Lonchura striata: one gene and its partner. The protein of the gene in region 2 purifies or fractionates together with the protein of the main gene of each other region. This does not show direct contact. Links are inferred from orthologs where the notes say so. Each region holds a gene or a part of one and is shown on either strand. Other genes may lie near its edges.

What was found.
Region 1: the proteins of MEPCE (region 2) and HNRNPUL2 purify together in Homo sapiens (affinity purification with mass spectrometry; 3 studies listed by BioGRID and IntAct, with this or other methods). This does not show direct contact. The link is inferred for Lonchura striata from reciprocal best matches to the Homo sapiens genes MEPCE and HNRNPUL2.

What each region holds. Positions count from the first base shown.
Region 1 is NC_134638.1:167,302-177,109, forward strand, and holds the start of HNRNPUL2 (heterogeneous nuclear ribonucleoprotein U-like protein 2), read right to left. Parts: upstream 3,834-9,808; 5' UTR 3,710-3,833; coding exon 3,028-3,709; intron 1-3,027.
Region 2 is NC_134636.1:1,369,466-1,379,660, forward strand, and holds the start of MEPCE (7SK snRNA methylphosphate capping enzyme), read right to left. Parts: upstream 4,675-10,195; coding exon 3,604-4,674; intron 2,089-3,603; coding exon 1,870-2,088; intron 1-1,869. UniProt on the Homo sapiens protein: S-adenosyl-L-methionine-dependent methyltransferase that adds a methylphosphate cap at the 5'-end of 7SK snRNA (7SK RNA), leading to stabilize it.

The DNA.
Region 1 (9,808 bases), on a different chromosome or scaffold from region 2:
ACAACCCGGGTTAACCCAGACCAGCCCCAAACCAACCCGGGTTTAACCCAAACCAGCCCAAACCAGCCTGGGTTTAACCCAGACCAGCTCCAAACCAACCCGGGTTAACCCAGACCAGGCCTGGTTTAACCCAAACCAGCCCCAAAACAACCCGGGTTAACCCAAACCAGCCCCAAAGCAGGCCGGGTTTAACCCAAACCAACTGGGTTTAACCCAAACCAGCCCCAGTTTAACCCCAAAAAACCCCTGGTTTCACTCTAAAGTATCCCAGATTTCACCCCAGAAGATCCCTGATTTTATTCCAAAATATCCCTGATTTTACCCCAACACAGCCCCAAAAGATCCCTGATTTTACCCCAAAAATCCCTGATTTTACCGAATTCACCCCAAAAATATCCCAGATTTTAATGATTTAACCTCCCAAAATCCCTGATTTTACCCCAAAAATCCCTGATTTTACTGATTTCACCAATTTTACCCAAAAAAATCCCTGATTTTATCCCAAAGCATCCCCAAAAATCCCTGATTTTACTGATTTCACCCCCAAAAGATCATTATTTTACTTATTTAATCCCAAAAAATCCCTGATTTTATCCCAAGACATTCCAAAAAATCCTGATTTTACTGATTTCACCCTGAAAAAAAACCGATTTTACCCCAAAAAAGCCAATTTTACTGATTTTACAAATTTCATCCCAAAAATCCCCAATTTTACTGATTTCACTGCAAAAAATCCGTGATTTTACTGATTTCAGACCAAAAAAAATCCCTAATTTTACTGATTTCACCCCAAAATATCTCAGCTATTCCCAAGAAACCCAATTTCCTGGAAAAAAAACGGTTAAAATTCAGATGTATTTGGGTTTTTTTGTTAAAAGTTGAATTTAAACCAAATATTCCATGAGAATGGCAAAGGTTTAACGGGAATTTTTGGTTTTAGAAAGATTAAAATCTCCTCAAAGTAAATTAAATCAAAAATTCCTGGGAAATTTGGGAATTTTAACGAAATTTCAGATTTGCAGGGACAAAAACCGGTTGAAATTTCTTTTTTTCCCCCTTAAACATCAAATTAAAGCTGAGTCTTCCATTAAAATCTTGGAGCTTTAATGGATTTCTCCAGGATTTGAAGGATGAAATGCCGTTAAAATTCAGATTTTTTTCCTCAAAAATTCCTTCAATCAAAGCTTTCCATTAAGATTTTGGATTTTCCCAGTTTTTAGAGTCGTGAAAAGTGCGTAAAATTCTTATTTTTTTCCTTAAAAATGAATTAAATTTTGTGAAATTCTTGGGGTTTGAATGAATTTTCCTCAAAAAAAAGTCAAATTCCCCTGGGATTTTTCACGAAAAAGATAAAATTCCGGCTCAAAATCCATTGGTTCACTAAAAACTGGAAAATCCAAAGGAAAAAAAAAAGAAAAAATCCAACAGGAAAATCCAAGGAAACACAAAAAATTCTCAGTTTTTCCCTTTGCTTGGCCAAAAAAATCCCCAAAAATCCAACAAGTGCAAATATTCCCAGAAAATCCAAGTTATATTTTCTCAATGTCCTGCAATGGAAATTTTCCAGCTCTTATCCCAAAAAAATCAAAGTTTGGGACAAAATGCAAATAATTTCATTTTATTCCCAATAAAATTACGTCCCATGGTGATCCAAGCTCTACAAATCCTCCCCAAATCAGATTTTTCCCATCAAAAATCAGATTATTTCCTTCAAAATGAGAATTTTTTTCCTCAAATCCCAGGATTTTCCCATCAAAAATTCACTATTTTCCATCAAAAGCCAGGATTTTCCCTTTAAAAAATCCAGTTTTTTCCCTCAAAAAAATCCAGATTTTCTCTCCAAAAATCCACATTTCCCCTCAAAAATCTACATTTTCCCTCCAAAATCAGAATTTTTCCCTCCCAAAGCTGAATTTTCTCACATCCCAAATTTATCCCTTAAAAACCTGGACTTTTCCCCTCATGGTTTTCCCCAATTTCCCCAAATCCCCAATTTTTCTAGTGGGAAATGAGATTTTATCCTGATTTTATCCCAATTTTGGGTTTTTTATCCCAGTTTTCGGGATCCCTCCCGGAGCCTTTCCCGGTTTTTATCCCGATTTTTGGGGATCCCTCCCGAGCTTTGCGGGCCCCTCCCGGGGCTCCTTTCCCGGTTCTGGGGGTTTCTTATCCCGGTCCCGGGGGTCCCGTTCCCGTTCATCCCTCCCGAGGATCCCGGGGCTCCTTTCCCGGTCCCGGGGTTTCTTTTCCCGGTCCCAGAGTTTCTATCCCGGTTCTGGGGGTTCCTCTCCCGTTCCCGGGGATCGCTCCCAAGGATCCCGTTCCCGGTTCCCGGTGTTCCTTTCTCATTCTCGGGGTCCCGTTCCCGTTCATCCCTCCCGAGGATCCCGGGGCTCTTTTCCCGGTCCCGGGGCTCCTCTCCCGAGCATGCCGGGGTCTCGTTCCCGGTACCCGGGGTTCCTTTCCCGTTCCCGTTCCCGGGGATCGCTCCCGAGTCTCCCGGGGTCTCGTTCCCGGTTCCCGGTGCTCCTTTCCCGTTCCCGGGGCTCGTTTCCCATTCCCGGTTCCCTTTCCCATTCCCTGTGCTCCTTTCCCGTTCCCGGGGCTCTCGTTCCCGGGGTTCCTCTCCCGTTCCCGTTCCCGGGGTTCCTTTCCCATTCCCGGTGCTCCTCTCCCATTCCCGGGGCTCTCTCCCGAGGATCCCGGGGTCTCGTTCCCGGTTCCCGGTTCCCTTTCCCATTCCCGGGCTCTCGTTCCCGGTGTTCCTTTCCCGTTCCCGGGGATCGCTCCCAAGGCTCCCGTTCCCGTTCCCGTTGTTCCTCTCCCGTTCCCGGGGATCGCTCCCGAGGATCCCGTTCCTGTTCCCAGGGTTCCTTTCCCATTCCCGGGCTCCCGTTCCCGTTGTTCCTCTCCCGTTCCCGTTCCCGTTGTTCCTCTCCCGTTCCCGTTCCCGTTGTTCCTCTCCCGTTCCCGTTCCCGTTGTTCCTCTCCCGTTCCCGGGGCTCCCTTCCCGTCCCCGCCGCTCACCCGCCGCCTCCTCCTCCTTGGCCTCGGCCGGGGCCGCTTCATCCCCGCTGGGCGCCTCCTCGGGCGGCCGCTCGGCGCCGTTCACGCCGCCGCTTCCTCCTCCTGCTGCTGCTGCTGCTGCTGCTGCTGCTCCCGCCTCGGCCGCCGCCTCCTGCTGCTCCTGCTGCTCCTGCTGCTCCTGCGGCTCCTGCGGCTCCTGCGGCTCCGGCCCCGCGGGCTCGGCCGGGGCCGCCTCTTCCTCCTCCTCCTCCTCCTCCTCCTCCTCCTCCCGGGGGGGGCCGGCCGGGGCCGGGGCCGCCGCTTCGGGGGCCGCGCTGGCGGCGGCGGCCGCCTCGTCCTCATCGGCGAGCAGCGCTTCTTCATCCTCCTCCTCCTCCTCCTCCTCCTCCTCCTCTTCCTCCTCCTCCTCCTCCTCCTCCTCTCCGCGGGGCCGCCCGCCGGGGCCTCCGGCCGGCCCCGCTTCCCCCGCGGCGCCGCTCGAGGCGGCCGCTGCTCCTCCGCCGCCTCCTCCTCCTCCGCCGCCGCCGCCGCCGCCGCCCTCCTCGGGCCCCGCCGCCAACATCTCCGCGTCCAGCGCCTCCTGCAGCCGCTGCGCCAGCTCCACCTTCAGCCCGCGCGCGTCCAGGCCGCGCCGGCCCAGCTCGGCCCGCAGCTCGGTCACCTTCAGCCGCTTCACGTCCATGGCGGGGCCGCCGCGCGGGGAACGGGCCGGGGGGCGAGGGCACGGAGGGGAAGGGAAGCGCAAGGAGCGCGGGCGCGCCGAGGCGGCGGCGGCGGCGAGGCCGGAGCGCGAGGCCGGGCCGGGCCTGAGGCGGCCGCGGGGCGGAGACTGAGGGGAGGGCAGGGGCGGAAGGAAGGGGGCGGAGAAGGGACGGGGAGCGGGGAGCGGGAGAAGCGAGCGAGAGCGCGAGGCGGGAGCGCCGCGCGGGAGCGCCGCAGGGAGGGCAGGGGGCGGCCGGAGCGCGGAGCGATCGCCGGGCCCGTCCCGCTCCCGCCGCCGCCGCCGCCGCCGCCGCCTCAGCCGCGCCTGCGCCGCCGCCCGGCCCCTCCCGCGCCGCCTCACGGCGCAGGCGCGGCGCGTGCGCGGGAAGGGCGGCGCGCGCCGCGCGCAGGCGCCGTGCCGCGCGCCGCTCTCCCCTCCCTTTCCCCCTCGGCCCCACCTACGTGCGCAACGCTCGCTCCCGATGTGGCGGCGGCGCCTCTTCCCCTCTTCCCTTCTTGCGCCTCTTCCCCTCCCTTCCCTCCGAGCGGCCGCGCCACGCCGCTCGGATTTTCTAATTGGCCGCGGCCGCTCTGTTCTGCCCAGCGACGGCGAAAAAGCCGCGCTCCGATTGGCGGCTGAGGGTGAAGATTGGCGGGGGGGGGGGGGGGGGGCGCTCGCCTGACGCGCAGTTTCCCGCCCGCCCGCCCGCCGCCATTTTGTTTTGCTGCGTGAAGCGGGACGAGCGGGGCCGCCGGCGCGGGAAAATGGTTAAAAACGCCTAAAATACAGAAAATAAACGAGATTTATTTCGTTTAAAAACGAAACCCGGCGAGGAAGAAGCGCGGAGGCGGAGAGTGGGAGGCGTTTCCCCCAGGAAACGTGTGGCCCCCCCCGCCCGTTATCGCTGTTGTGAATTCACTGATTCATTTAATAAAACCCTTCAAACCGCCTTGTACGTTCTTTAAGCATCGTTAACACTTATTATCATTCTCGTCAAGCCCCGCTTTCACCCGGAAAGCGCCGAAATGATGGAGTTGAACCTCAGGAAGGGGCAGGCGCCGCCATTTCGCGGCGCGACGGGCGGAGCGGAGCCCCGGGGCTCCCGCGGGGCGGATCCGGTACCGAACCGGGGCCGGAGAACCGGCACGAGCCCTCAGAGCGGTCTGCATTTATTGATCTACAACAACAGAACCGGGCGGGCGCGCCGCTCCCGGAGGCGCCGAGGCTGCTGCCGCCACGGAACCGCGATTGTGATCATCTCATCTGCTGTTCACCGGCACAGGTCCCCGAGGGGTGCACCGTTCCCGGAGGCACTGCAATACCGGCACGATGCGCGGAGCGGAGGGAGCAAGCTCCGGGTCCAACTCCCGAGCCCAAAAATCCGTTTAATATGAAGTCCTCTCATCGAGGACGTATCAGATATTAAACTGATAAGAACAGATACTACACTTGATCTTAGCCAAAAGGCCGAGAAGCGATACCGGATCCCGCTCCGGCCCCGCGCCGGCCGCGCACCGGCCCCGCCCGCACCTCACGGACACCCCCGCGCCGCCGCCGCCCCGCCCGGCCCCGCTCCCGGCCGCCTTCCCCGCCCCGTCCCGCGCTTCCCTCCCGCGTTCGGCGCGTACCGGCCCCTAAAATCCCGAAAATCTCCCCAAAAAATCGTCCCAGCATGCACTGCGCGCGTGGCGACTCAGGAAATGTGCATAACCGCGCCCCTTTATGCAAATAGCATCGCATAGTGGCTTCATAGCCCCGCCCATCGCATTTTTTCCCGCCTCGCTTTGTGATTGGCCGCCCGCGCCGCTGTATGTGCATTGGCACCGCCTCCTTTCCAGCAGGCGGATGATTAGCATAACCCCGCCTTTCGTCGTTAATATGGTAATTTCGCCCGCTCATTTGCATTCTCCCCGCCGCTGCCGCCATTGGGGTCCCGCGTTCCCCTCAAGGCGCTCGGGGCTGGGCGGCAGCGGGACCCCAAAAGCCCCAAATCGGCCCCTCCTGACCCAAATCCCGAACCCCGAACCCCGAAACGGCTCCGAGCGCCCCAAAACCTGTCCCGGGTGCGTGGGGGGGGGTCGGGGACCCCTTCCAGATCCGGGGGGAGCCCGAATCCCCTCCGGGGCACCGGGGTGTCCCCGGGCTCACCGGGAGGGTGACAGGGGGTGACACCCGCGGGGTCCCGACGGGGCTGGGGGGGGATCCCCCAAATTCCATCCCTGCCCCAAACACGCGGGGGTCCCGGGGTCTGTGGGGTGCCGCCCCTCGGTTCCCCCGCGCCCGCCCCGCTCCCGGCCGCCTTCCCCGTCCCATCCCGCGCTTCCCTCCCGGGTCCGGCACCTTGCGACCCCTAAAATCCCAAAAATCTCCCAAAAAATGCTCCCAATATGCATTGCGCGGCTGTGAGGAAGTTCAGTTAATGTGCATAGCCCCGCCCCTTTATGCAAATAAACTCGCAGTGTGGTTTTATAGCCCCGCCCACTCCATTATTCCCGCCTCGCATGGTGATTGGCCGATTGCGCCGCTTTATTTGCATTGGCACCGCCTCTTTTCCAGCCGGCTGGTGATTAGCATAACCCCGCCTCTCGTCTCTAATAGGGTAATTTCGCCCGCTCATTTGCATTCCCCCCGCCGCCGCCGCTGCCGCCATTGGGGTCCCGCGTTCCCCTCAAGGCGCTCGGGGCTGGGCGGCAGCGGGACCCCAAAAGCCCCAAATCGGCCCCTCCTGACCCAAATCCCGAACCCCGAACCCCGAAACGGCTCCGAGCGCCCCAAAACCTGTCCCGAGTGCGTGTGGGGGGGTCGGGGACCCCTCCCAGATCCGGGGGGAGCCCGAATCCCCCCCGGGGCACCGGGGTGTCCCCGGGCTCACCGGGAGGGTGACAGGCGGTGACACCCGCGGGGTCCCGACGGGGCTGGGGGGGATCCCCCAAATTCCACTCCTGCCCAAAACACGCGGGGGTCCCGGGGTCTGTGGGGTGCCGCCCCTCGGTTCCCCGGGATGTCCCCGTCGGCTGGGGGTGACACCAAGGGACAATCGCGATGGAATCACGATCGTGAGTTTCCACCGTGTGACGCTCCCGGCGGGCGCGCCGCTCCCGGAGGCGCCGCGATCCCGGGACGCTGCGGCTGCTGCCGCCGCAGAGCCGCGCCCGAAGCATCTCCTCATCTGCTGTTCACCGTCACAGGTCCCCGAGGGGTGCACCGTTCCCGGAGGCACTGCAATACCGGCACGATGCGCGGAGCGGAGGGAGCAAGCTCCGGGTCCAACTCCCGAGCCCAAAAATCCGTTTAATATGAAGTCCTCTCATCGAGGACGTATCAGATATTAAACTGATAAGAACAGATACTACACTTGATCTTAGCCAAAAGGCCGAGAAGCGATACCGGACCCCGCCCCGGCCCCGCGCCGGACCCGCACCGGCCCCGCCCGCACCTCACGGACACCCCCGCGCCGCCGCCGCCCCGCCCGGCCCCGCTCCCGGCCGCCTTCCCCGCCCCGTCCCGCGCTTCCCTCCCGCGCTTCTCACACACGGACCCCTAAAATCCCGAAAATCTCCCCAAATTTATGCTCCCATGATGCTCTTGGCTGAACATTGTGATTAATTTGCATTGTCCCGCCTTTTCAATTTACATAACACCGCCTTTCACCTGCGCTTAGAAGCCCCGCCCCACCGCGTTCCTCTGGTGATGTGATTGGACGATCGAGCACCTCGATTTGCATGCCATGCGCCTTATTTGCCATGACGCCAACGCAATTAGCATAACCTTAAGCTACGTCATGTGCAATTAGCATATAAGCATTCTCATTTGCATAGAACACCCCAGCAGGTCCCCACGGTGACGCCGCGGGTTTGGGGGAGCTTTGGGAGGCTCCCCTCCATGCCCGGGGGGTTTTGGGGCACAGGAGACCTGGAAATTATCAAAATCATCCAAAAAATGAGTTTAAATTCGGAATTTTGGCTTCCTGAGATGTTTTTGTAGCCTTTAAAAGCATAGAGGGGCTCAGGTGTGACCCCCCTCCGCAATTCCCTCACCCTCAGTCCCTCCTCCCCAAATAAGAAACAAGCAGAAATTCAATGTTTTTAACAAAAATAGCAGTTTTTATTTATGTTGGTAGAACTTCCACGATCCAAGAACTGCAGGAAGAAATTCAAGGGTTAAAAGGTTTCAAACTCCTCAAAAATCACCCAAAATCTGTTCCGAACCCAGGAGACCCCCAAGCCCCCATTGGGACCCCCCAAAACCCCCGGGGTCCCCCAGAGCCTCAGGGGGAACCACTCAGTCACAGGGCTCAGTCTGGGGCGGTATCGCCTCATCCTCGGCAGGGAGACCCCAAAAACACCCCAAATCTCTCCTAAATCCCAAAATCCTGTCCCCCAAATCCCTCCTGCCAAACCCCCAGAGGCCCCTCACCATCCCAAAATCCTTTCCTCAAAACTCCCCCCAAATCTTCTCCCCAAACCTCAAAGTTCCTCACCACAACGTCTTCTCTTCACAGCCCCAAATCCTTTCTCCACTCTCCAAAATCCCTCTCCACACCCTAAATCGACTCTCAAAATCCCAAATCTCCTCCCCAAACCTCAAAATGGTTTTGTAAATCCCAAATCCCTTCCCCACAAAATAGAATTTGAAACCCACACCCCAAATCCGCTCTCCAAAGCTCAAAATCTGAAATCCCAAATCCCTCCCAACACCCCAAATCTCCTCCCCGCTCCCCAAAATCCCCCCCAGGCTCACCTGAGCCCCGCTCCTGCCGCACCTGTGGGACAGCAGGGGGGGAGGGGCTTTAGGGCGCCCCCTCCCCCCCAGGACCCCCCCGGGGACCCCCACCCCAATTTTTCAGGTGTTCAGGTGTTTTCAGGGGGGTCAAAGTGAGCTAGTGACATCATCACCAAAACTGGGGCTGTGATGTCATGGGTCAGGCCACACCCCCTCATTTACATACCTGGCTCCAGGTGTGTCCTGGGATTGTCACCTGCAGGGAGGGAACACAAGGGGGGTCAGGGGGGTCCTCGGGGAATTTGGGGACCCCATAAGGGGGAAAAGCCCCCCCCGGTCAGGCCTGGGGTTGTCAGCAGCAGCTTCAGCCGAACGAGATTCATGAGGTCATCACCCCTGGGGGGCCTCCACACCCCAAAATCACCAGGAAAGCCCCAAATTTACCCCAAATCGTCCCTGCAGGGGTCACCCCAATGGGGGTCCCAGCCCAGGGACCCCCACCCCAGTGAACAATTCCCCCTCCAGGTGAGGATTTACCTGGGATCTTCTCAGGATTCACAGACTGGCTCCAAAACCCCCCAAATTCCCCTCTGGGGGTTGGGGTCCCCCATCTATGGACCCCCGAGGGGGCAGGACTGGGTTGGACCCTGGAACGGAAACAGGGGAGGGTCAGTGTTGAGTTCTGACACCCAAAATCCCACAGAATCCCCCCAAAGCCCTGCAGGCCCCCTCAGACCGTCCCTGCTGGGACTCTCTGTCCTCCTCTCCCCCCGGGGGCTCCAGGGGGTTCCACCTTTGCAGGTCCTGGGCCCAGCCGGGGGGGTCAGACACGTGGGGGTTTCCTCATGGGGGGCCTGGGACCCCCAAACCCACCCAGGACCCCCCAAACCCACCCTGGACCCCCCCAAACCCACCCAGGACCCCCAGCTCTCACCTGCCCACAGGGATCCGCAGCTCCCGAGGCTGTGGAGGAAATTGGGGGGCTCAGGGGGGGTCGGAACCCCGCAGGGGGGTGCAGCCCCCTCCCCAAATCCGATCAGGGCTTTGGTAACTCAGAGCTGCCATCGGACTCAGCCTCCAGCTCAGGGTCTCATCGCTTCGGACTGGGGGGTCGGGGGATTCTGGGGGGCTTGGGGAGGCTCTGACCTGAGGGGGGGCTCTTTGTGGTCACTTCATGGTGGCCCAAGACCTATCCCACTGTAAAATACAAATTAATTATGTTTATTTAATTAAATTTCTATTATTTAGGTAATTCGGGGGGGGCTCAGTGTGATGGTTTTGAAATTGGGGAGGGATTTTGGGGGGGCTCTGACCTGAGGTGGGCTCGTGGTGGTCACTTCATGGTGGCCCCAGGGT
Region 2 (10,195 bases):
AATCCAGCCCTGAACCCCCCAGACCCAAAACGAGACCCCAAACCCAGCCCTGAACCCCCCTGGACCCCCAGGGATTTAAAACAAGACCCCCAAACCCAGCCCTGAACCCCCCCAGACCCAAAACGAGACCCCCAATCCAGCCCTGACCCCCCCTGGACCCAAAATGAGACTCCAAACCCAGCCCTGAACCCCCCCAGACCCAAAATGAGACTCCAATCCAGCCCTGGACCCCCCCAGACCCAAAATGTGACCCCCAATCCAGCCCTGAGCCCCCCCAGACCCAAAATAAGACTCCAAACCCAGCCCTGAACCCCCCCAGACCCAAAACGAGACCCCCCAATCCAGCCCTGAACCCCCCCAGACCCAAAACGAGACCCCCAATCCAGCCCTGATCCCCCCCAGACCCAAAACGAGACCCCCAAACCCAGCCCTGATCCCCCCCACACCCAAAACGAGACCCCCAATCCAGCCCTGAACACCCCCAGACCCAAAACGAGACCCCCAAACCCAGCCCTGATCCCCCCCAGACCCAAAACGAGACCCCCAATCCAGCCCTGAACCCCCCTGGACCCCCAGGGATTTAAAACGAGACCCCCAAACCCAGCCCTGAACCCCCCCAGACCCAAAACGAGACCCCCAAATCCAGCCCTAGACCCCCCCGGCCCACCTGAGCCCGAGGTGGCAGCGTTTAACCCCACAAAAACACTTTTTTTTGGGTTTTAACCCCTCAAAAAACACATTTCTGGCACCAAACCCTGCTGGGAGTCCCACCAGACTTCTCTAACCCCACCACAACACCCCAAACCCCGCTGACACCCCCAAAACGCCATTTCTGGCACCAAACTCTGCTGAGAATCCCTCCAAACTGTATTTTTTGGGCTTTTAACCCAACAAAAAAGCATTTTCTGGGGTTTTAACCCCCCAAAAACGCATTTCCAGCACCAAACTCTGCTGAGTGTCCCTCCAAAAACCATTTTTTGGGGTTTTAAATCCCCATAATTCAATTTCTGGCCCCAAGCTCTGGTGAGAGTCCCTCCAAACACCATTTTTTGATGTTTCAACCTGCCAAAAACGCCGTTTCTGGCCCCAAACTCTCCAGACGTCCCCACAGACCCCTTCATAACCCCCCAGAGACCCCCTCCCTGAGCCCCATGGAGCCCCCCAAAGTCCCATGGAGCCCCCCAGAGCCCTGTGGAGCCCCCAGACCCCATCCCTGAGACCCCCTGAGCCCCCCAAAGCCCCCCCAGAGCCCCGTGGAGCCCCCCAGAGCCCCCCCAGAGTCCCATGGAGCCCCTCAGAGCCCCCAGACCCCATCCCTGAGACCCCCAGAGCCCCGTGGAGCCCCCAAGAGCCCCCAAACCCCATCCCTGAGACCCCCAAAGCCCCCCCAGAGCCCCGTGGAGCCCCTCAAGAGCCCCCAAACCCCATCCCTGAGCCCCACGGAGCCCTCCAAAGCCCCCCCAGAGTCCCATGGAGCCCCCAGACCCCATCCCTGAGACCCCCTGAGCCCTCCAAAGACTCACCAGAGCCCCGTGGAGCCCCCCAAAGCCCCCCCAGAGTCCCCTGGAGCCCCTCAGAGCCCCCAGACCCCATCCCTGAGCCCCACGGAGCCCCCCAAAGCCCCCCCAGAGTCCCATGGAGTCCCCAAACCCCATCCCTGAGACCCCCAGAGCCCCGTGGAGCCCCTCAGAGCCCCCAAACCCCATCCCTGAGCCCCCCACTCACCGTCAGCCCCTTGCGCTTGTGGCAGGACTCCCAGGGCTGCGGCTCCAGCAGCAGCAGGAGCCCCCCAAAGCCCCCCCAGAGCCCCGTGGAGCCCCTCAGAGCCCCCAAACCCCATCCCTGAGCCCCCCAGAGCCCCCCACTCACCGTCAGCCCCTTGCGCTTGCGGTAGGACTCCCAGGGCTGCGGCTCCAGCAGCAGCAGCCCGCCGGGCCGCAGGTGCCGGAACGCCCTCCGGAAGAGCCGCTTGAGCCCCTCGTCGCCCCAGTTGAGCTGCACCCACTTGGTGAGGGACAGCAGCAGCACCACGTCGAACTCGGGGCGCTGCGCCCCCACCACCTCCTCCCGCTCCGGCACGTAGTTCCCCTGCGGAGGGGTGGGCTCAGCCTGGGGCTGGGGGCAGCCCCGGGGGGGTTTGGGGGGTCTGACAGGGTGGGGGGCTCGGGGTCAGCCCCACTGAGGAGGTTTTGGGGGTCTGACAGGGTGGGGGGCTCGGGGTCAGCCCCACTGAGGGGTTTTGGGGGGTCTGAGGGGGTGGGGGGCTCGGGGTCAGCCCCTCTTGGGGGGTTTGGGGGTGTCTGAGGGGGTGGGGGGCTCGGGCTGTGCCCCACTGAGGAGGTTTGGGGGGGTCTGAGGGGCTCGGGGTCAGCCCCACTGAGGGGTTTTGGGGGTGTCTGAGGGGGTGGGGGGCTTGGGCTGTGCCCCACTGAGGAGGTTTGGGGGGTCTGACAGGGTGGGGGGCTCGGGGTCAGCCCCACTGAAGAGGTTTGGGGGGTCTGACAGGGTGGGGGGCTCGGGGTCAGCCCCACTGAAGAGGTTTGGGGGGTCTGACAGGGTGGGGGGCTCGGGGGCAGCCCCACTGAGGGGTTTTGGGGGTCTGACAGGGTGGGGGGCTCGGGCTGTGCCCCACTGTGGGGTTTTGGGGGGTCTGACAGGGTGGGGGGCTCGGGGGCAGCCCCACTGAGGGGTTTTGGGGGGTCTGAGGGAGTGGGGGGCTCGGGGTCAGCCCCTCTTGGGGGGTTTGGGGGTGTCTGAGGGGGTGGGGGGCTCGGGCTGTGCCCCACTGAGGAGGTTTTGGGGGTGTCTGAGGGGGTGGGGGGCTTGGGCTGTGCCCCACTGAGGAGGTTTGGGGGGTCTGACAGGGTGGGGGGCTCGGGGTCAGCCCCACTGAGGAGGTTTGGGGGGTCTGACAGGGTGGGGGGCTCGGGGGCAGCCCCTCTGGGGGGGTTTGGGGGGTCTGACAGGGTGGGGGGATCGGGGGCAGCCCCACTGAGGAGGTTTTGGGGGGTCTGACAGGGTGGGGGGCTCGGGCTGTGCCCCACTGAGGGGTTTTGGGGGGTCTGACAGGGTGGGGGGCTCGGGGTCAGCCCCACTGAGGGGTTTTGGGGGGTCTGACAGGGTGGGGGGCTCGGGGTCAGCCCCACTGAGGGGTTTTGGGGGGAGCTGCCCCACACAGACCCCAAGACTGGAATTGGGGAGGGGGTCCTGCACCACTCTGATCTCCTGGTGACCCCTTCAGACCCACCGAGACCCCCCAAAAACATCCCTGACGTCCCTTTCACAGCCTCCAAGACCTCCCAAAACCCCCCAAACCCCCACACACCCCCTCAGACCCGCCCAGACCCCCCTAAAACATCCCTCATGTCCCTTTCAGACTCTCCAAGACTCCCCAAATCCCCTCCAAGCCCCCCCAAATGCTTGTCACTCCCTTAACGCCACCGAGACCCCCCTAAAACACACCAAAAACCCACCAAAATCCCTTGCCAACCCCCTCAGAGCGACCCAGACCCCCCCCAAACCCACACCAAAACCCTGCTCGCACCCCCCAGCACCTCGCCCACCCACCCCACCCCCGTTTCCCCACCCAAAACCCCCCCTCACCGTGACGAACACCACGTTGTGCGGGAAATCCGCGGCGCCGGGCCCGTCGGGCGGCAGCTGCGGGGCGGCGATGGGGCCCCGGCTGGCCAGGAGCGCGGCGGGGAAACCTTTCCTGAGCCCGGCGGCGGCCTCGCCGTCCGCCCCCAGCCCCTCGGAGAGGTAGTGGCGGATGTTCTGCCGCGCCGAGCGGATCAGCCGCCCGTCAATGTCCAGCCCCACCACCCTGGCGGGCGCCCAGCGCTTGGCGATGCTCAGGGTGAGGTGCCCCACGTTGCAGCCCACGTCCAGCACCTCCTTGCCCGCGAACCACTCGGGCCGCAGCGCCCGCAGCCGCGCGTCCTCCACGTCGGGGTTGCGGTACCCGTAATATTTGCAGTAATTCCCGTACTGGAACTTGCGCGCCTGGCGGCGCGGCCGCTGCGGGGCTTTGCCGCCGGGTTTCGGTTTTTCCGAGGGCGCGGCGGGGCGCGGAGGGTCGGATTTGCTGCAAGTCCGTCGGCGCTTGCGGTGGCGGCCGGCGGGGCACGGCGGGGCGGCGGGCTCGGCGGGGCGGCCGGGCTCCTCGGCGCCGGCGGCGCTGTTGGCGGCGTTGTTGCGCTGCTGGCCGCGGTGCCGGTGCCGCCGCCGGGCGCTCTTGGCCGGCGAGGCCAGGCGGAGCGCCTCGCCCGGCGCGTTCAGGCTCAGCGGGTCCGTGATGTCCCTCGGCACCAGGATCTCCACCGGGTCCCGGCCGCGCTGCGGCAGCGGGGAGGACTGCGGCGTGCGGGCGTTCAGGGCGCGGCTCACCTCCTCGTCCAGCAGGCTGTTGAGGTTCAGGGGGTCGAAGATGTTCCCGCCGAGCAGGAACTCGGACGGCAGCACCGGGCCGCACTCCGAGGCCGCGCGGCGCCGCCGCTTCCACGCCGGCTGCTTGGCGCCGCAGCTGCTCCGCCGCTTGCCGCCGCCGCCCGCGGTGCGGAGGCCATTGCGGGGCCGCGGCGGCTCCGGTGCGGCGGCGGCGGGAGGAGGAGGAGGAGGCGGAGGAGGCGGCGGCGGCGGCGGCACCAGGAAGGCCTCAGGCGCCGCCGCCATGGCGGCCCGGCCCGCGCCTGCGCGCTGCGCCGCGCCGCCCCCGCGCATGCGCCGCCGGAGCGGGGAGGGGGAGCGGGAACCCTCCGCTCCCGCCGCCTCCCGCCCGCGATGGCAGCGCCGCGCCGGCCCGCCGGGGTTTATATAGGGGAGAGGCGGGGCCCGCAGAGGGCACGCCCACGAGGAGGGGCGGGGAGACGGGGCTCGGCCAATAGGAGACGGAGCGCGGCGCGCGGCGGCCAATAAGGAGAGGCGGCGCGCGGGGAGAGGGAAAGGGGGGCCTCAGGAGGTGGGGGTGGCCGCGGAGAGTGCCTGCGCGGAGAGCAGCGGGGGAGGGGAGGAGGAGGGAGCGGGAGGGATCCCGGTGAAGGCCTGGGGGGAGGGAGAGCGGCGGGGATGGGACGGGGGAGGGTGGGCGGCCGGAAAGACGTTCAGGCGGGGTGAGGCCGCCCCGCGCGCGCGGGGGCTGCCGGGACTTGTAGTCCGCGCGGGGGCCGCTCGTGCGCGGTGCGCGCTCCTTCTCCCCACACCCACACAGACACACAGAGCCCCTCCCGTTCCAGCGCCGGTCTCTCCTCGGCCCCTTTCGGCCGAGCTGCTCACGTCACCGTTCACGCTCGTGACGTCACCGTTCCCGTTAGTGACGTCACCGAACCGGGTCTCTCTCTCCCCGCCCCACCCGCCCCGGTAACGGGGAGGGGGCGCGCGCGCTCTCGCGCGGCTCTCGCGAGGTTTCGAGCCCCCCCAGCGCCCGTCCCGCGCGCCCCTCGCCGGTCACGCGCCCGCGCGCCTGCGCGGTACCGCCCCCCCCCCCCCCCCCCCCCGTCCCGGCACGTGCCGCGCGCGCGCCTCGCCCCCCCCCCCCCCCCCCCGGGACCCCTCACGCGGGTCACGTGACCGGGCGCGCGGGAAGAGCCGCTCTTTATTTTTTATTTTTTATTGTATTTTATTTTATTGGGTTTTTTTGGGGGGGGGAGGGAGGCGCTAAAAACGCCGAAATCGGGGCACGAACCCCGCCCACAGCGACCCCCGCCACCCACGCACGGGCCCCCCCACCCAGCCCCTCATGAAGGGGTCTGGGGTCCTCCTCACGAAGGGTTTTGGGGTCCCCCTCAAGATGGGGTTTGGGGTCCCCCTCATGAAGGGGGTTTGGGGTCCCCTCAGCCCCTCTCGATGGGGTTTTGGGGTCCCCTTCACCCCCTCATGAAGGGGTTTGGGGTCCCCCTCATGATGGGGTTTGGGGTCCCCCTCATGAAGGGGTTTTGGGGTCCCCATCACCCCCTCATGAAGGATTTTGGGGTCCCCTCAGCCCCTCAAGATGGGGTTTTGGGGTCCCCATCACCCCCCCATGATGGGGTTTGGGGTCCCCCTCATGATGGGGTTTTGGGGTCCCCTCAGCCCCTCACGATGGGTTCTGGGTCCCCTCAGCCCCTCATGAAGGACTTTGGGGTCCCCTCAGCCCCTCTCGATGGGGTTTTGGGGTCCCCATCACCCCCTCATGAAGGGTTTTGGGGTCCCCCTCATGATGGGGTTTGGGGTCCCCCTCATGATGGGGTTTTGGGGTCCCCTCAGCCCCTCTCGATGGGTTCTGGGTCCCCTCAGGGACACTTGCGCTCCACGCACTGCTTGCCGCCCTCCTCGTACTCCTGCTTGGAGATCCACATCTGCTGGAAGGTGCCCTGCGATTTGGGGCGGTTTGGGGTGATTTGGGGTGGTTTGGGATGGTTTGGGGGGTTCAGAGGCAGTTTGGGGGGTTCAGGGGGCGGTTTGGGGTGATTTGGGGCAGATTGGGGCAATTCAGGGTGTTCAGGAGGCAGTTTGGGGTGGTTTGGGGCAGTTTGGGGTGTTCATGGGGCACTTTGAGGTGGTTTGGGGCGGTTTGGGGGGTTCAGGGGATGGTTTGGGGCGGTTTGGGGGGTTCAGGGGGCAGTTTGGGGGGTTCAGGGGGCAGTTTGCGGCAGTTTGGGGGGTTCAGGGGATGGTTTGGGGCAGTTTGGGGGGTTCAGGGGGCAGTTTGGGGGGTTCAGGGGATGGTTTGGGGCAGTTTGGGGAGTTCAGGGGATGGTTTGGGGGGTTCAGGGGATGGTTTGGGGGGTTCAGGGGGCAGTTTGGGGGGTTCAGGGGATGGTTTCGGGGGTTCAGGGGATGGTTTGGGGGGTTCAGGGGGCAGTTTGGGGGATTCAGGGGATGGTTTGGGGCAGTTTGGGGGGTTCAGGGGATGGTTTGGGGGGTTCAGGGGATGGTTTGGGGGGTTCAGGGGATGGTTTGGGGCAGTTTGGGGGTTCAGGGGCAGCGAAGCCCCCCGGGCTCCCCGGGACCCCCGACTCACGAGCGAGGCCAGGATGGAGCCGCCGATCCAGGGGCTGAAGCGCCGCTCCATGGTGCTGTTGCTGGCGATCAGCTTGAGGCGCATGCTCTGGGACAGGGCGTCACTGGGAGCACTGGGAGAACTGGGAGAACTGGGGGCAACTGGGGGGACAGCTATGAACCACTGGGAGCCACTGGGAATGACTGGAGGGACAGCTATGAACCACTGGGGGCAACTGGGAATGACTGGGGGGACAGCTATGAACCACTGGGGGCAACTGGGAATGACTGGGAGCCACTGGGAATGACTGGAGGGACAGCTATGAACCACTGGGGGCAACTGGGAATGACTGGGAGCAACTGGGGGGACAGCTATGAACCACTGGGAGCCACTGGGAATGACTGGGAGCAACTGGGGGGACAGCTATGAACCACTGGGAGCAACTGGAATGACTGGGAGCAACTGGGGGGGACAGCTATGAACCACTGGGGGCAACTGGGAATGACTGGAGGGACAGCTATGAACCACTGGGAGCAACTGGAATGACTGGGAGCAACTGGGGGGGACAGCTATGAACCACTGGGGGCAACTGGGAATGACTGGAGGGACAGCTATGAACCACTGGGGGCAACTGGGAATGACTGGGAGCAACTGGGAATGACTGGGGGGACAGCTATGAACCGCTGGGAGGAACTAGGAATTACTGGGAGCAACTGGGAATGACTGGGAACAACTGGGGGGACAGCTATGAACCACTGGGGGCAACTGGGAATTACTGGGGGGACAGCTATGAACCACTGGGGGCAACTGGGAATGACTGGGGGCAACTGGGAATGACTGACAGCAACTGGGAATGACTGGGAATGACTGGGGGGACAGCTATGAACCACTGGGGGCAACTGGGAATGACTGGGGGCAACTGGGAATGACTGACAGCAACTGGGAATACTGGGAACAACTGGGGGGACAGCTATGAACCACTGGGGGCAACTGGGGAGCACTGGGAGAACTGGGGGCAACTGGGAGAACTGGGGGGACAGCTATGAACCACTGGTCCCAAACTCGGGGGTCCCTCACGGGGGGGTTTGGGGTCCCCCAGCCCCCAGCCCCAATTCGGGTCCCTCACTGGGGGTTTGGGAGCCCCCAGCCCCAATTCGGGTCCCTCACCGGGGGGTTTGGGAGCCCCCAGCCCCCAGCCCCAATTCGGGTGCCTCACCGGGGGGTTTGGGAGCCCCCAGCCCCCAGCCCCAATTCGGGTGCCTCACCGGGGGGTTTGGGAGCCCCCAGCCCCCAGCCCCAATTCGGGTGCCTCACCGGGGGCGTTTTCTGGGCCAGCTCGCGGTTCAGGCGGTCGGTGAAGCCCTGCAGCAGCGTGTTCCCCCCGGTGACAATGACGCTGCCGTACAGCCCCTGGGGGGGACACGGACACGGGGGGTCACCCGCGGGATTCGGGGGTGTCCCCGCCGCCCCCCGGGACCCCCGGGACCCCCGCCCGGACCCACCGGCCGGATGTCGATGTCGCACATCCCGATGCTGGTGGTCACCACGTGCCCCACGCCCAGCATGGTGTTCCCCGAGAGGCCCTGGGGGAACGGGGGGGTCAGGGGGGTCCCCAAAACCCCCGGGACCCCCCTGGACCTCCCTAAACCCCCCAAAAACCCTGGGATCCCCTCTGGGACCTCCCTAACCCCCCCAAAAACCCCCGGGACCCCCCTGATCCCCCCCAAAAACCCCCGGGACCCCCTGATCCCCCCCAAAAACCCCCGGGATCCCCCTGATCCCCCCAAAAACCCCCGGGACCCCCTGATCCCCCCCAAAAACCCCCGGGATCCCCCTGATCCCCCCCAAAAACCCCCGGGACCCCATGATCCCCCCCAAAAACCCCCGAGACCCCCTGATCCCCCCCAAAAACCCCGCTGAGAACCCTCAAACCCAAAGGAAGGCAGAACCTGGGGCGTGGGGGTCCCCTAAAGCCCCCCAGGACCCCCAAAACCCCCTCAGAGCCCCCCCAGGACCCCCAAAACCCCCTCAGAGCCCCCCCAGGACCCCCAAAACCCCCTCAGAGCCCCCCCAGGACCCCCAAAACCCCCTCAGAGCCCCCCCCAGGACCCCCCAAACCCCCTCAGAGCCCTCCCAGGACCCCCAAACCCCCTCAGAGGACCCCAAAACCCCCTCAGAGCCCCCCAGGACCCCTCAAAACCCCCTCAGAGCCCCCCCAGGACCCCCAAACCCCCTCAGAGGACCCCCAAACCCCCTCAGAGCCCCCCCAGGACCCCCAAACCCCCTCAGAGGACCCCAAAACCCCCTCAGAGCCCCCCCAGGACCCCCAAACCCCCTCAGAGGACCCCCAAACCCCCTCAGAGCCCCCCAGGACCCCCAAAACCCCCTCAGAGCCCCCCCAGGACCCCCCAAACCCCCTCAGAGCCCTCCCAGGACCCCCAAACCCCCTCAGAGGACCCCAAAACCCCCTCAGAGCCCCCCCAGGACCCCTCAAAACCCCCTCAGAGCCCCCCCAGGACCCCCAAACCCCCTCAGAGGACCCCCAAACCCCCTCAGAGCCCCCCCAGGACCCCCAAACCCCCTCAGAGGACCCCAAAACCCCCTCAGAGCCCCCCCAGGACCCCCAAACCCCCTCAGAGGACCCCCAAACCCCCTCAGAGCCCCCCCAGGACCCCCAAAACCCCCTCAGAGCCCCCCCAGGACCCCCCAAACCCCCTCAGTGGACCCCCAAAACCCCCTCAGAGCCCCCCCAGGACCCCCAAACCCCCTCAGAGGACCCCCAAACCCCCTCAGAGCCCCCCCAGGACCCCCAAACCCCCTCAGAGCCCCTCCCAGGACCCCCAAACCCCCTCAGTGGACCCCAAAACCCCCTCAGAGCCCCCCCAGGACCCCCAAACCCCCCCGGGACCCCCGAACCTTGACGTTGGAGGGGTCGAAGAGCCCCTCGGGGATGCGGAGCCGCTCGGCGCCGTAGTCGGTGTTGTACCCGTTGGGCATCTCGTAGTGCACCGTGGGCATCTGCGCCGCCACCCTGGGGGACACGGGCGGGTTTCGGGGTCCCCCCGCCCCAAAAAAACCCCCTCACCCCAAAAAAACCCCCCCAAAGCCCCGGCGCTCACTGCTCGTCGTAGGGCGAGTCCGACACCTGCAGCACCGAGGCCTGGAAGTCCTGGATCACCTCCTGGGGGAACGGCAGCCCAAAAAGGGGGTCGGGAC